4 separate regions of the Mus musculus genome follow, and all the other regions are reported to be linked to region 1. Evidence: microRNA targets listed by miRTarBase, many of them from high-throughput screens and not tested one by one. Region 1 holds a microRNA gene; each other region holds the end of a gene's coding sequence.

Region 1 (4,411 bases):
CTAGCGAGACAGTGGGCCCTGGCAAGGGCAGAAGGAAACAGTGACATGGGGTGACCTGAGCGGTGGCATTGTGCAGACAACTGGAGGAGGAGAGAGGACAGCTCACACATATCAGTCTGGGTGGAGGGAAAGAGAGCTAGAGGCCAGCTGGATCTGGTGTGCTCTCTCTCTCTCTCTCTCTGTTTCTTCCCGAATCAGTGGCTTTAGATACACCATCGCATTATCTAAAACCTCCCTCCTTCCCTCCTCATCCTGCCTGCTCCCCCATCTTCTTAATTGGGGTCAATCTTTCCAAGTCTCTCAGCTCAAGGGAGGAAGTAGTATCTGCTGTAGCAGATGGTCCTACATTCTGGTGACATCCTAGCTTTCCAGGTATCCCTTGGAAACAATCTTGAGTTTGTAGCCTCCCAACAATATGAAAAGTTAGACTTAGAAAAAAAAATGTTTAAAAGGAAGTAAATAAATATTTTTTCCTCTGCTATTCATATAAATATTCTGAGATACAATAATAATAATAATAATAATAATAATAGCCTGAAAATACCCTGGGTGTGACCAGTTAGTTGAGAGCTGGCAGTGTGTGTGTGCCCTGTCAGCTGCAGGGTGATAGCTAGGATTTAATTGCCCTTCCTAAGATGCAGCTCAGTAGAGTGAGGTGAACTAGAGTCTTTCTATATACATGTCTCTGAGGACAAGACTCACAACAGCTTCCACGTTACCCAGGACCCAGTTGGACCGTGGACACTCAGGCTTCACCACAGACCTCCTGGCCTTATTTCCTGGGGGTTGGTGTGCACAATCAGCTCCAGGAGAGCCAATCAAGTCCTTGTGGATGTCATGTCTCAGTGTCCTCTTTATTAGGATGTCACAGGTAAATTCCTGTGGCTGGTGCCAAGACAAACTGCCTAGAACATTTTATTTGCTGGCTTGCTCTGATTAAAGTGGAGAACGCACTGCACTTTCTCGTTTGTGGTCACCTGCTAAATCTTTACCTTATTTCTGGTGTTGCCTAACACAGCGTCTCATACACAGCAGAAGAGAAAGAGTCACTAAATGAATGAATGAATCTATTTCCTATTTCCTTCGAAATTTGAGCCTCTGCACAGGCTGAGATGTACTGGCGTGCTTTGTGTTGTTGTTGGAGGTGGAATCTGGGGTCTTGTATATGCTGGGCAAGTGTTTCATCATTGAGCTATAACCCAAGAGCTAAAAAACTTGTTCCGGTGGCATTAGGGTAGCAGACAATTTTTGGGGAAATGAAGTTTGTTTCCAGAAGGCCTAGGGCTGTGGAATCCTGGGTATAATGGATGCTTAGAAGAGAAGAGATGACTTCAGGTCTCAAGGACTGAGGACATGTCCCTAGTTTTCAGTGACTGGCTTTTATACCACCAGAAGCTCTGCACACTCTGTACTGACCCTTTTCCTGTGAACTTCCCTGTGTAACATTTGTTCCTCTGTTTTATCAGCTGAATGATGGAACCTCACAGCCAAGAACTTTGAGAGGTCAAAAGGACCTGGCTGCTTCCTGCAGGTGGCAATGGCTTCCTTTCTTCTTCAGCCTTTAGACAGTTTGGATTTCAAATTATTCCATCACTTTCTAGAACATTCCAGATCCAAGCTCTCCTCTCCTATCACAGATGTATTCTGCAGCGCTGGGCCTCTCTACTGCATGTGGTTGTGGGAGAAGAAAGCCGCTGAGGTAGTTGAAGCCATGTTTAGCTTTTAGTTCTGTGAGGCAAGAGGGCCAGGACAGAGCATTTCCCCTTCCCTGTCAAGATATCAGCACCTGCTTGGGAAGCCAGAAGATGGAGGAGTAAAAAAGCTCCTGTTCCTCGGGGGCTTGCAGGTAAGGTCACGGCCAGTGCAGAGGTGCCAGTCTTCTCCTGCCCTATAAGGCTGCTGCTACCTGTGAAAGATCAGTGCAGTTGCTTACCTGTCACCTAGGCCAGATGGAGACACAGCCATCGGAGTCACAATTAGTAACACCTACTCACCATACACACACATGCACATGCACACATATACACATATATTCACATACTCACACACATGCACATGTACAAACATATACACACACATACTCACATGTACATGTACACACACACACACACACACACATATATATGTATATACACACCTGCACACACACACACACACACACACACACACACACACATATCAATAGAGAACATGCATATACACGTACATGCACTCATGCACATGCACACCCATGTGTATATGCACACACATACATACACATATACACATATGCATGCACACACACACATACACTTATTTCTATAGGAGGGTGTACATGAATGTATATCACATGCACACATGTATATGTGTGTGAATATAGGTGAATATACAGCCCCTCCCATCCTGGAAACTAGCACATTCATATAAGACACCATAATACAGCTTTTCAATATTTTCTTTTCTGTAAGAAAGTAGGGAATTGACTGAAGTCCAGGGCTGTTGCAGTTCAGAAGTTCGGCTCTTTATCTAAATGTGGCCCTGAGAGTTAGGCAGCAGATGGAGGTAACATGGCAGCTTCCAGGGCTTGGAGTCAATGACTTCAATGAACAAAAACAGACACTTTCTTTTACTCGCTCCATTGAGAACATGACCACACATTCCTGGCTCACAGGAGACCCCTAAATCTGGAGGCCACTCCACGATGTCTCCTCATCCTTAAAGTAGAAAGTGGGACTGCGGAATCTGTCATGTGCTCCATCTTGGGCCACTGATGGGGTCTGTGTGAGATGAGATCTGATTTGCCTCGGTTATTCTGGGATGCACATTGGCTACTCTGCCCACTTCATCCATTCTGAGCTACTACCAATCTCCATCCTTACAGGCAGCAGCCAATTTGAAACGTACAGTTGTATACTCCCACTTCAGGTTACTTTTGCCAACACATATTACCTTATGTTTATTTGAGTTAAGTTTCGTCTGCCTGCAGGCTGCACAATCCCCCAAAGTGTTCCGATGCACCTGGAATTTCTTGCAAATCTTCTCTGTTTTTATTAGCCACAACAGTTTGGAACTAGTTGAAACCTCTGGGAAGAGATTAGACAACAATTACTGCCCGTTGCTCATGTAATGTCTGGCCAGGTACATGAGCCAGCAGGCCTTGCTTGGCGGGGTGGGGGTGGGTGGGCATGATAGCATTTCTATCCACTGGTCTGTCTTTTGAACTCTCAACTCTGGACAGGTACCAGGGAGCCAGCCTATCCTTGGGGTGTATGTCTACACAGGGGCATAGAGCTGTCTTATTTACAGGTTTTAGAAGCTACTGCTCTGGAGCCAAGGGAATGTGTGTTATCAAGGCCCACTCTGTCTGGTCCCCTTGGATATTACAGAAAGAAGGGACAGAAGAAGAGAGCCGAGGGAGGGGAAGGAAGCTTGCAGCACTGCTCGCTATGCTGGGTTCTGTAAAATCAGGTGATTAGACATGGGAGGAGGAAGGACAGAAGTATCACCCTTCGGACTCCTCTGGAGAGGCTGAGACATCACCATGGTCACATCCTGGAATCTGGGAATGAGGACTGGTTGAGGCTGGAAGCCACTGTCCTCAAGACCAGGTAGGACATCAAGGACCAGTTCCACGAGCCAGGATGGAGGAGGTGAAGCGGGCTGCTGCTTGCGGAAAGCAGCTTCTGTGAGCAAGGCTGGTGTGTGGGCAGCAGCTTAGGCTGAACGGATCCCAGAGCGTTCCAGCGAGCTAATCTTGTCAGCCTCAAGCTGTTCCACAGACAGTGGGTGTGAATCCAAAGCCATCTTAGATGCTCAGCTCTCAAATGTTTCTTTTAAGAAAATAAAAAAAGAGAGATTGAAGGTACACCAGACCCAAATGGGCCAGTTACCTGGGAAGGTTAGACTTGTGAGCTGTGAAGTGCAAGTATGCAGATGTTAGAGACGATGGGATGAGATGTGTGTATGGGGGTGGATGTCTCTTCTCTGTCAGCTATATCCCTGGATGAGAGTGTCTGTCTCCTTCTGCCTCAAGGATACTGTATATATCTGCTCCACGTGTAGAAGCAGAAGTCAGTGGTATCCAGTCTCCAGCCCTGGACTCGTCTTCTCTCCTGTTGTCTCTGCTTTCATAGTCAGTTGACTGTGCCTGCTTAAACTGTGCACATATAGAAACTAAATCTTGAGGAAGGAGGAACCCTAGGAGAGTAATATAATCCTGATCCTGACTTCTAATTAATCTCTATGGGGAGAAAATATCTTATGTCTGTATGCATGTGGCAACTGTCAGTAATAAATTTGATGACCTATAACTTGGCAGGAAATAGGAGGTAGGACATCTGTGAGGTAGAAAGGATTCTGGGATAGTGCCAGGTGGGAGATACACTGGGGAAGATGTGACAAGACAGATACCTGGTACCTGAGCACAGGTAAC
Region 2 (3,000 bases), not on the chromosome of region 1:
GGGCGCTCTAACGCCCTCTTCTGGCCTCTGTGGTCAATGCAAAATGCGCATGGTGTGTCCTGGTATGTTACTCTCTGCTCTGTTGGGTCCCCTTCTCTGCTCAGGACTCAGGAGACAGCTCTGAATGTCCAGAACCAGCTATGGTGCAAAAAACTTTATTTTCCATGAGGCACACAGGGAGTTGTGGAGGACTCTCCCATTCAGCCTAGAACTGGCACTACTAACTGGGAAAACTTTGCTAACACCCTGCAGACCCCGGCAGTGGCACAGAGCCTGATCCCACACTGGGAAGGCCGGTCTTGGCCTGTACCACTGACCTAGCATCCCCCCACCCCCACCCTTGGGTCTGATTTGCTTTTCTGACATTGAAATCATCATCCCTCAGGACTGACCTTGGCCAATGACAATGTTGCTCTGTAGGCTGATAGCGGGCAGGGACAAACACTTGCTTCACACTGAGTTACAGTGGGCTTCTTCTGTGAGCTTCCCCTTGCATGTCATGGAACGGTCTCCTAAGGAGGCAGGCGGACTGGACCAAGAGCAACAAATGCTGCAACAAATGGCTTATGCAAGGCTGGCAGGGTGTGGGAGGAAAAGGGCCCAGCTTCTTTAACCAGCTGGGAAAGCTGCCTGTCTGCATGCTTGACTCTCTGCTTCCCCCTTGTGGTTGTAAGGTTGGTGATGCCACATGGTTATGAGTGTGTGTGTGTGTGTGTGTGTGTGTGTGTGTGTGTGTGTTGGAGCTGGAGGAGGATCCAGCAAGACTGGAGCTGGGGCAGAGATATACTTGTCTCTGTACTATAGCAACAGGGTCTCTCTTCTCCTACCCACCAGATGTGGATTCCTTGAGCATTGCCAGACAGCTGTTGCTTACCAAGAAACTGAAAGCAAAGTTTGGGATGATGTTCATTTGTAATGGGTGGGCAAGGAGGGATTAGACATGAAGAATGTGAACATTGCTGAGTCTTTTTTTTTTTTTTCCAAGACAGGGTTTCTCTGTATAGCTCTGGCTGTCCTGGAACTCACTCTGTAGACCAGGCTGGCCTTGAACTCAGAAATCTGCCTGCCTCTGCCTGCCTCCCAAGTGCTGGGATTAAAGGCGTGCGCCACCTCTGCCTGGCCCTGCTGAGTCTTTTCTAATCGTGGGTACAAGGGTCTTCTACTGAAAAAAGCTAGCCTTTAGAATCCTGATTCAACATCACAGAATAATTGATGAGGTGAGACAAGAGTCCACGCTTGTAACAGCAGAGTCCAGGGATCTTTCTATCATGCTCTTGGGAAAAAGATTCCAAGACCTTGGCAAATTACACCTAAAAATCCAAGAAATCCAGGATGTTCCACCAGACAGGAGTCAAAAAACTGCAGCAGATAGATCTCAAGATCATGAACATCATGAATGAGAACATGAATGAGAACATCATGAATACTGCATTAGAGAAGGCCTCACCGACAGAACCTTCATTGCAAAGCAGAAGATGCAGGGATGTGAAAACTCACCCCTTTTCTGCTCCCAGACTTGACTCTGACAACCTTGGGGCAGGCTGAATTTGATGCCCCTTTCCCCAAAGCCAGCTGAAGTGGGTTGCATTATAAGGTGTATGCTCTGAGGCAGCCTGGTCTGCTCTGGCTGAGGCCCTTGACCTGGTCCCCTCTCCATCATAGACTGAACCTTGTAGGCTCTTGCCCATTCAGTACCCTCTTCCCACAGCAGGTCTTTGTGGAGCGATGCCCCCAGCTCCGTGTTGGAGTGTGGTCTCTTCAGGTAAAGGCTTTGAAGACCATTGGCTGAGATTTATGAAAACCTTAATCCCACTCCCATTGTGTGTGTGTGTGTGTGTGTGTGTGTGTGTGTGTGTGCGTGTGCACACACGCGCACGTGCATGCCTTTCTGTCTCTTTCTCTCAACAGGGTCTCATGTAGCTTAGACTGCCTTAAACTCATTATATAGATAAGAATGACCTTGAACTTATGATCTTCCTGCCTTGTAGTGCTGGGATTACAACCATTGACCATTGAGAATGGTTTGTGGGGCTGGTGATCAAATTCAGTCCCGTTCATGTAGGGCAATCAGTCTACCAACTGAGCTACACACATCCTCAACCCCAAACTTTTAAATCTCTGGGCCAGTGGATCCAAGAGGCCCTCAGCAAACCGAGAAAAGGAACAGGTGTGGGGAAATAGAATCTGTCCCCAAACTCCGCGAATCAACACCAGGTGCCAGCCAGGAAATCGATGGTTCTGATCCAACACCTGCTGTTTACCACAAGGCAGGGGTCATAGGTCTCTGGTACAACCTACCATGTAGGGAGTGCTCAGGGAAATGAAGCCAGACGGTCCTTGCAGACAGTTTTTACATAAGGGATCTTGGATGTGGGTGGGCTTCAGTAGTATGGAGGAACACACTAAAGACTTCCAGCCGAGTGTCCAAGGAGCGGCTGTCTTAAGGACGGGTGTCTTTATAATCGAAGAGACGGAGGCTCCAGAGTCAGGTGAAGGTTATTGCTGAAGTCACATCAGGTTCAAAGGGTTCAACTTGATCAATCCAACTTGAGTCCAAGAGATAGGTTTGTCAAGGAGGCCACAGTTCCATGTCCTGGGCAAGTCCCTTGAGATGTCAGAGAAGGCACACAGATGGCACCCTTCTACATCCTTTCTGTGTCCTGAAGCAGAGCAGTCACTAGGCTGATGACCTGGGAAGCTGGCTGGACCGCATCGTACTCTGCGAAGAGGTGGCACACGTTCTCTTGTGGTTCTGTCTGGCTCTTGGCCACAAACCCAAAGATCCTGGTGAAAGAAGACAGTCTGAGGGGATGTGGGCTCGAGAGACATCATGCTAAGGGGAGGGTTGGATGGGGAGGGCACTCAGCCTGAACCTAACTACCGCTCTCCAAGCCAACTGGCTTCAGTGTCTCCTGTGCGTGTATGTGCATATGTATGTGTGTATGTATGTATGTGTGAGACGCACATGTTTGTGTGGAGTTAGCATGTGTCTGTGTGTGA
Region 3 (3,000 bases), not on the chromosome of region 1:
GTGTCCTGAATCCACAGCCCAGCCGTTCCCTCCAAGCCTGACACTCAGGATGCACTTCTAGGCACCTGCCACTTGGGGGCAGCAGACTGGCCTAGGCTGGTGTTAGGCTTCTGGAGGTCGTCAGCCTGCAGTCCCACTCACCACAGGGATGGTCGAGGGTATTCAGCCTAGCCTAGCGTCATGATGGGAGAGGCTCAAGCACGTGTCTGCTCCTGACCTTTGCCTCCCCCGACTTCCTTCACAGTGGTCACTGCCACGCTTGCTGAGACGGGCCTCATGTCCCTGGGGACCGTGCTGCTCCTGGCCAGCCGCCTCCTCTTTGTTATTGTCAGCATCTACTACTATTACCAAGTCGGCCGGAAACCCAAAAAAGTGTAGCAGGCTGGGACCTGCCTGGGCCTGGACCTGGGCCCGAGCAGCTGGGGACTTCACTGTCCATGGGTCCTAGACAGGCCTGCAGGCAGGCAGGGTGCACACGCCTTCCTTCCCTCCCAGGCACTCCACGGAGTCATCTTGGGTCTCCTGGGATTCTAGGAGTGACAGACCAGGCTGTGGCCTCTGCACCCCACCCCTCACCCTTGTGCAGGGACAACTCCTTGCCCTGTGTTTCTTGGCCTCTAGACTCTAACAGGCAGAGTCTAGAGTAAGTTTTAGGGTCTGGGCTGAGTCAAGGTGAGTTCCTCTGCCAGGAAGCCCTTTCTAGGAGGTTGTGTCGGCCCCAGCAGGGGCTCTCAGCTTCTCCCCATCCAGAAACCCGATGTGTGAGTCCCTCATCACACACGCACACACACACACACACACACACACACACACACACACACACACACACACACGGTGTTTCTAGAGATCCAGTTGAGGACATCTAGCAAGGGGAGTGACTGCCTCCCTTGGGCCAAGTTCCCCAGCCTCAGCCTGCACATCTCTCTCTTTGGCCTGCTGGAGGGTACTCTGATTCTCTGGCTGGCCGCCTGCGTCCCAGAGCACCAGAGTCCCTTCCCGACAGGCTAGGGTTAGGCAATGTACCACAGGCCTGATAGTCCCTGGCTCCTAGCTGCCCATAGGCTCCTAGTGCATGAGGAATTCTGAGGAGAGGACAAGTGGGGACATTTCCTCGGCATGGCCTCCAAGGCCTGCATGGCTACACACCTGGCTCAGTGCCTCCTCCAGATCCCCTCCTGAGGCTGCCCCAAGGCCTACGGGTTAAAGCCAATAGCTGCTCACATGCAACAACGGAAGGAGATTCAAGAGTCTGCCATCCCTTAGCAGCCCCTAAGTGGGCCTCTAGAGCTGAAGACACACCCCTGGTGCCACCAGCCTGTGTGGCCCCTCCCCTTGGCCCTAGCTCCCAGCACCTCCCTACCCTTCAGCAGCAAGCACACTAAGAGATTTGGCCCGAGGCTTCTCCCTTCTGCAAGGGGGTGGTCCCCTATACCCGAGGAATCTTTCTCTAGGGCACCTGGGCTCACAGCCTCCCTGGGCTCGGTTGTTCCTGCTGCCAAGTGCTCTGTGACCATGGCCTTTGCCTAGTGGAGGGAACTCAGTGGAGGATGTGCCCAGCAGTGGCCGGGGCTGCTTCTGTAACCAAGGTCTGGCAGAGTAGCGATTCCCTGCGTGTTCAGGAAGGGCCCATTGTGTATACCTGCCTCTTGTCACTGGCTTGGTGCCAGTCCCTCAGTCCCACCTCTTTACTCGGACCATGGACCCTGCCACTGCCAGCTCTTAGTACAGTCCCAACTACCGTAGACCAGGTGACATTTGTTGACACCATTCTCAGAGGTGTTGAAGATTTATCATCTTGAATCCTCCACAAATACAGATACAGTCCCAAGGGAGGTAGTCGTAGAAATGGAAGACGCCAGCCCTGCGCAGCCTGCAGGGACATCCGCCAGGCTTCCCCTCAGCAGCAGGAGCCCAGGTCACCCTGGTTAAACTGCAGTGATACATTTAGGTGGGTGGGGTCAAGGCATATGTGGCCTCCGGGAGACACCTGCTTGGAAGGAGGCAGTGATGGAGATAGAGCCCCACTCTGAGTCTGGGCTCAGAGTGCCCTGACTGCTCTCCCCCACCCCATCCCCAGCTCCTCTTGTCATGCTTCTGCCTGGCCCCCAAGACTGCCTCTGTCATGGTCACTATTTATTCTTGGTCCCTTTTTCTTTTTGTAAGAAACAGTCACAAGAAAACAACAACAACAACAAAAAACAACCAATGAGAAACAATCTGCGTGGTGTCCTGTTTTATATTACAAAATTTCTCTTAATATAGAATATAAAAAGGGGAGACTTGGGAGATACAATGATAAATTAGCTCTGTTTCCTACTGCAAGGGACATTTACAAATTCCAAAATAGACTTTAGCATATGACGTGTGTGTGTGTGTGTGTGTGTGTGTGTGTGTGTGTGTGTGTGTGTGTGTATCAGAGTTCCTGGGGATGAAGGTGCTGGGTTCAGAACCCAGGTAGGCCAGGGGCTTGGGACAGGATAATGGGGAGCATGAGCCACAGGTCCAGTCTTAGCTCCTCGCCTGTCAGATACAGCTGTCCCTTAGGCCACTGCTCTGGGACAGGAAGTGGCTGTTCTGCTCACTACTGGCTGAGGCATCTTGGGGTGAAGGAAGAGCTCCCCTCCATTCCTCTGGGAGTACACAGAGCAGCTCACCAAGCCCCACCAGGATGACCTCAGACAGCCTTGCAATGGCTACCAGCAAGCTCAGAGGGTGAAGACTGTGTCTGTCTGGCCCCATGAGGATGCTGAGAAGCTGGGTTGAATCAGGGCTACTTGGGAGCGCTTCAGCGTAAGTGTGGAAAGTTCTGGTGAGGGACTCTGATCTGCCCTGGAATTGCCTAGGCTCCATATCTGGCTTCTCAGTCCCTCCCTGTCCCAGCCCTGCCCATCTCTGGAAGCCTGGGCTAGTTCTGGGTGGCAGCCGCTGTGGTTGGGCTAAGTCCTCAACCTAGCCATGAACTTCCAATCAATAGCCAAGCCATTTGCCTTCCTAGACAGT
Region 4 (3,000 bases), not on the chromosome of region 1:
AACTGTGTACCAGCCAGCCGCTTAGCTGGGATGGAGGGGTGCCAAAGGTTTGTATGCCATGACCCCATGGGGGTTTCACTAGCTTTTTTTCGCCGTCAGAGCCTAGACCCTGGCTATAGCTAATACAGGTAGCCAGGGTCAGTTCAGACTCCTCCAGCCCCAGGCTAGCACTAGTGGACAGCAATGGCCTGGCTGATGCCTGTCACCTGCTGTTGTCATCGGATCTCACCCTACTCACACAACCCCTGGAGAGAAGAACATCTTGGAAATAAATGTCCAGGTTCTGGACGCTCTAAACTGCCACTGGGTACCATTTTCTAAACTAGGAAGGGACTGCACAGGAGAGCCAAGTGCTGCCAGGCAGCTGTGGGTTCAAAGAGACTGGAAGGCAGGGTCAGAACTCAGACAAGACTCTGCAGAAGGACTCCACCTCTGACTCGCAGGTCAGTGCTCCTTCCCATACATGCTAGAGTGCAGCTTCCCCGGGAGCAGGAGGGCAGGCAGGAGACATGATGGCTCCCTCTGAGTGTGCAATGTACCCCAGGTACTGGGTAGAGAGGATCAGTGGCTTCAGAACAAAGAGCCCCACTGTCAGGGGACAGCTTCCACAAGGGTGGTGTTGAGCCTGGGGCCAGCTTGGCTGAGAAAGCCCAGCTCAAGGGGAGAGCAGTCCACAGAGGGAACACAAAGGACCATCTTAGCTCGGCTTGCTGCAGAGCCACAGGCCTGCCTTGGCCTCTCTGTGAAGGAGTGCTGTACAGGTCACTGCTCAGCACACCACACTGCTGAGTGCGGCCTCCAGCGGGTCTCGGAGGGAGATTACCACCAGGATGTTCCATCTGCTTAAATTTAGACTCCAACCTGAGACTACAGACGTCTGCCTATGAATCACAGGTCTCTAGAAACAGCCATCACGGTGAAGATGGCATCTTACGTCCTAGCAGACTGGGTCAAAGAAATCCATGGTTCTTCCTGGGTTACAGACAACCGAGACTCATCACTACCCTACCGAGGCCTCTCCCCTAGTCCCTGCTTATTCTAAAAACTGATCTTACAGTTAGGGCAACGCTCACTGTAGAGTGCCGTTTAGTGCGGGTCCGGTCCCCAATATGGTGAAATATAAAATTACAGAGAAGCTTGTACCAGATACCACAGCCAGACCATCAGCTGTTGCTGCCACTTGAGTCATCTTCAAAGCAGAACAGCGCCCCCAGCAGGAGTTAAAGAAACACAGCACCCAGGCACAGAGTAAGTGTCTTCCCCTTAGCCTTTTTTTATTCAGATTAATTTTGGTTTAACAGTACCTTTCCCAGCTCAAAGAAAAGCTTCTTACTCATAGTGCCTGTGTTAGTCCATTTTATATCACCGTAACAAAACACCTAAGGCTAAATAGCTTTACAAAGAAATGAGATTGATTTAGCTTTCGGCTCTGAAGGTTCTAGGGCCCACATCTGATGATTGCCCTCTGGCTGGTGGTCCAGAGCTGGCACACAGCAGGAGAGGGGCGTGTTCATTGTCTCTGCTTTCTCCTTGTATGTTAGGGGCTCAGTCCTGATGGCTTTACCTCCTCTTAGTCACCATCTAAGTATACCACTTCTAAACACCATGAAATTAATATAAAAAATAATAATAAAAGAAAAAAATCAAAATTTAAAAGTTTTTTTTTTGGGGGGGGGAGTATTATTTTGAGACTTGGTCTCACCATTTAGCTCTGGTTAGCCTGGAACTTGCTATGTAGACCAGGATGGCCTCCAACTCAGTTACCTGCCTGCCTTTGCTTCCCCAATGTTGGGATTAAAGGTGTGTACCACCATGCCCATCTTATATTTTATCATTTGTAAAAGAGTGTGTGTGTGTGTATGTCTGTGTGTGTGTGTGTGTGTGTGTGTAGGATGTGCACGTGAATACAGATGCCCATGAAGTCCAGAGGCATCAGGTCCCCTGAAGCAAAAGTTATGCTCAGTAATGAGCCACCCGCAGTGCATTCTGGGAATCAAACTCTCATCCTCTGGAATCACAGTAAGCGCTGTTGACCATGAATTTCTCCAGCCGCTAATTTTGACATTTTTAAGTGTGCATGCATGCATATGTGTGTGTGTGTGTGTGTGTGTGTGTGTGTGTGTGTGTGTGTGCTCTAGAGCAAATGAGTGCTGGTGCCTTTGGAGGCAAGGATGTTCCAGGGGCTGGAGTGACAGGTGGTCTTAAGCTGCCAGATCTGAGTTCCGGGAAGCTGAACAACTGGAGTCCTCGGCTAGAACAGCACACAAACCGAACTGCTGAGCCATACCTCCAGCCCAGTAATCCAAAATTTTTAGAACGAGATTAAGTTTCCAGTCTCCGACTCACTACAGAGATTAAATATGCAACCCTCAAGTCTATCCAACCATCTGAAGGCACACAGGCTTAAAAACCATCTCAGAAATGGAACGTTCTCAAGTCAAGAGCTAACACAAAAGCAATCTCATGTGGCCTGTAGTGTCTGGTTCTGCCGGGTTCGCCCCCCAGGCAAAGGACTCCGTCACTGAAGGGCCAAGTTCTTTCCCAAGCTGTTGGGTGAAGTCCACAAGCCCAGTAGAGATCCCTGGGTTCCAGCCTCCACTGCTGCTATTGCTCTGGGCCAGCTGTCTTGGTGGTCACCAGCTCGGTGGAGCCCAGTTCTGTGGCGGGCACCGGGACGCTGTGGCGTGGCAGGGCGCTGTCTGCATCTTCTTTGAGCGGAGGCCAGGTAGGAGCTGAGGCATGAGGGGTTTCTGAGGAGGGTACAAAGACATTTTCCAGGGACTCTGGGGTGGGAGAGGGAGCAGGTAAGATAAGGCAGGAAGGACGGAATCACAGCCCCCCCCCCCCACGCCCGTTCTAGAAGCCTCCTCTGGGACGGCCCTAGGAGGAGGACGGGGAACAGCACGTGACAGGTCTTCAACACAGGAAGTGCTGAGTTCAGAGACTTGATAAGATGAGGTGAGGGAGAGGGGTGTCTGGTCAGCCCACAGGGCATAACCT

What was found. Region 1 holds the annotated microRNA mmu-miR-466i-5p (UGUGUGUGUGUGUGUGUGUG, at 2,099-2,118, opposite strand). A microRNA usually pairs through its seed, bases 2 to 8, with sites in the 3' UTR of a target mRNA and lowers its output. Matches are read on the target gene's strand: a 7mer-m8 pairs with bases 2 to 8, a 7mer-A1 pairs with bases 2 to 7 and ends in A, and an 8mer does both.
Region 2: the mRNA of Tns4 is a reported target of mmu-miR-466i-5p. Seed matches in the 3' UTR shown: 8mer at 1,850-1,857, 8mer at 1,848-1,855, 8mer at 1,846-1,853, 8mer at 1,844-1,851, 8mer at 1,842-1,849, 8mer at 1,840-1,847 and 28 more.
Region 3: miRTarBase lists Trp53i11 as a target of mmu-miR-466i-5p. Seed matches in the 3' UTR shown: 7mer-m8 at 775-781, 8mer at 783-790, 8mer at 785-792, 8mer at 787-794, 8mer at 789-796, 8mer at 791-798 and 18 more.
Region 4: the mRNA of Tnfrsf13c is a reported target of mmu-miR-466i-5p. Seed matches in the 3' UTR shown: 8mer at 2,125-2,132, 8mer at 2,123-2,130, 8mer at 2,121-2,128, 8mer at 2,119-2,126, 8mer at 2,117-2,124, 8mer at 2,115-2,122 and 28 more.

What each region holds. Positions count from the first base shown.
Region 1 is chr3:85,465,089-85,469,499 of GRCm38, reverse strand. It overlaps Mir466k (microRNA 466k), which reads right to left and starts at 2,123; the gene lies at 2,002-2,123. The region is part of intron 1 of Gm31419 (a long non-coding RNA gene); the gene reads left to right.
Region 2 is chr11:99,065,539-99,068,538 of GRCm38, forward strand. It overlaps Tns4 (tensin 4), which reads right to left. Exons shown (of 13, transcript NM_172564.3): 13 at 140-2,784. The coding sequence ends at 2,643. Among named protein-coding and RNA genes, the nearest start is that of Tns4, 22 kb to the right of the region's middle.
Region 3 is chr2:93,199,542-93,202,541 of GRCm38, forward strand. Trp53i11 (transformation related protein 53 inducible protein 11) reads left to right here. Exons shown (of 8, transcript NM_001025246.2): 8 at 245-2,216. The coding sequence ends at 378. It overlaps Tspan18 (tetraspanin 18), which reads right to left. Exons shown (of 10, transcript NM_183180.2): 10 at 2,219-3,000. Among named protein-coding and RNA genes, the nearest start is that of Trp53i11, 13 kb to the left of the region's middle.
Region 4 is chr15:82,220,494-82,223,493 of GRCm38, forward strand. Tnfrsf13c (tumor necrosis factor receptor superfamily, member 13c) reads right to left here. Exons shown (of 3, transcript NM_028075.3): 3 at 1,249-2,783. The coding sequence ends at 2,605. Among named protein-coding and RNA genes, the nearest start is that of Tnfrsf13c, 2.4 kb to the right of the region's middle.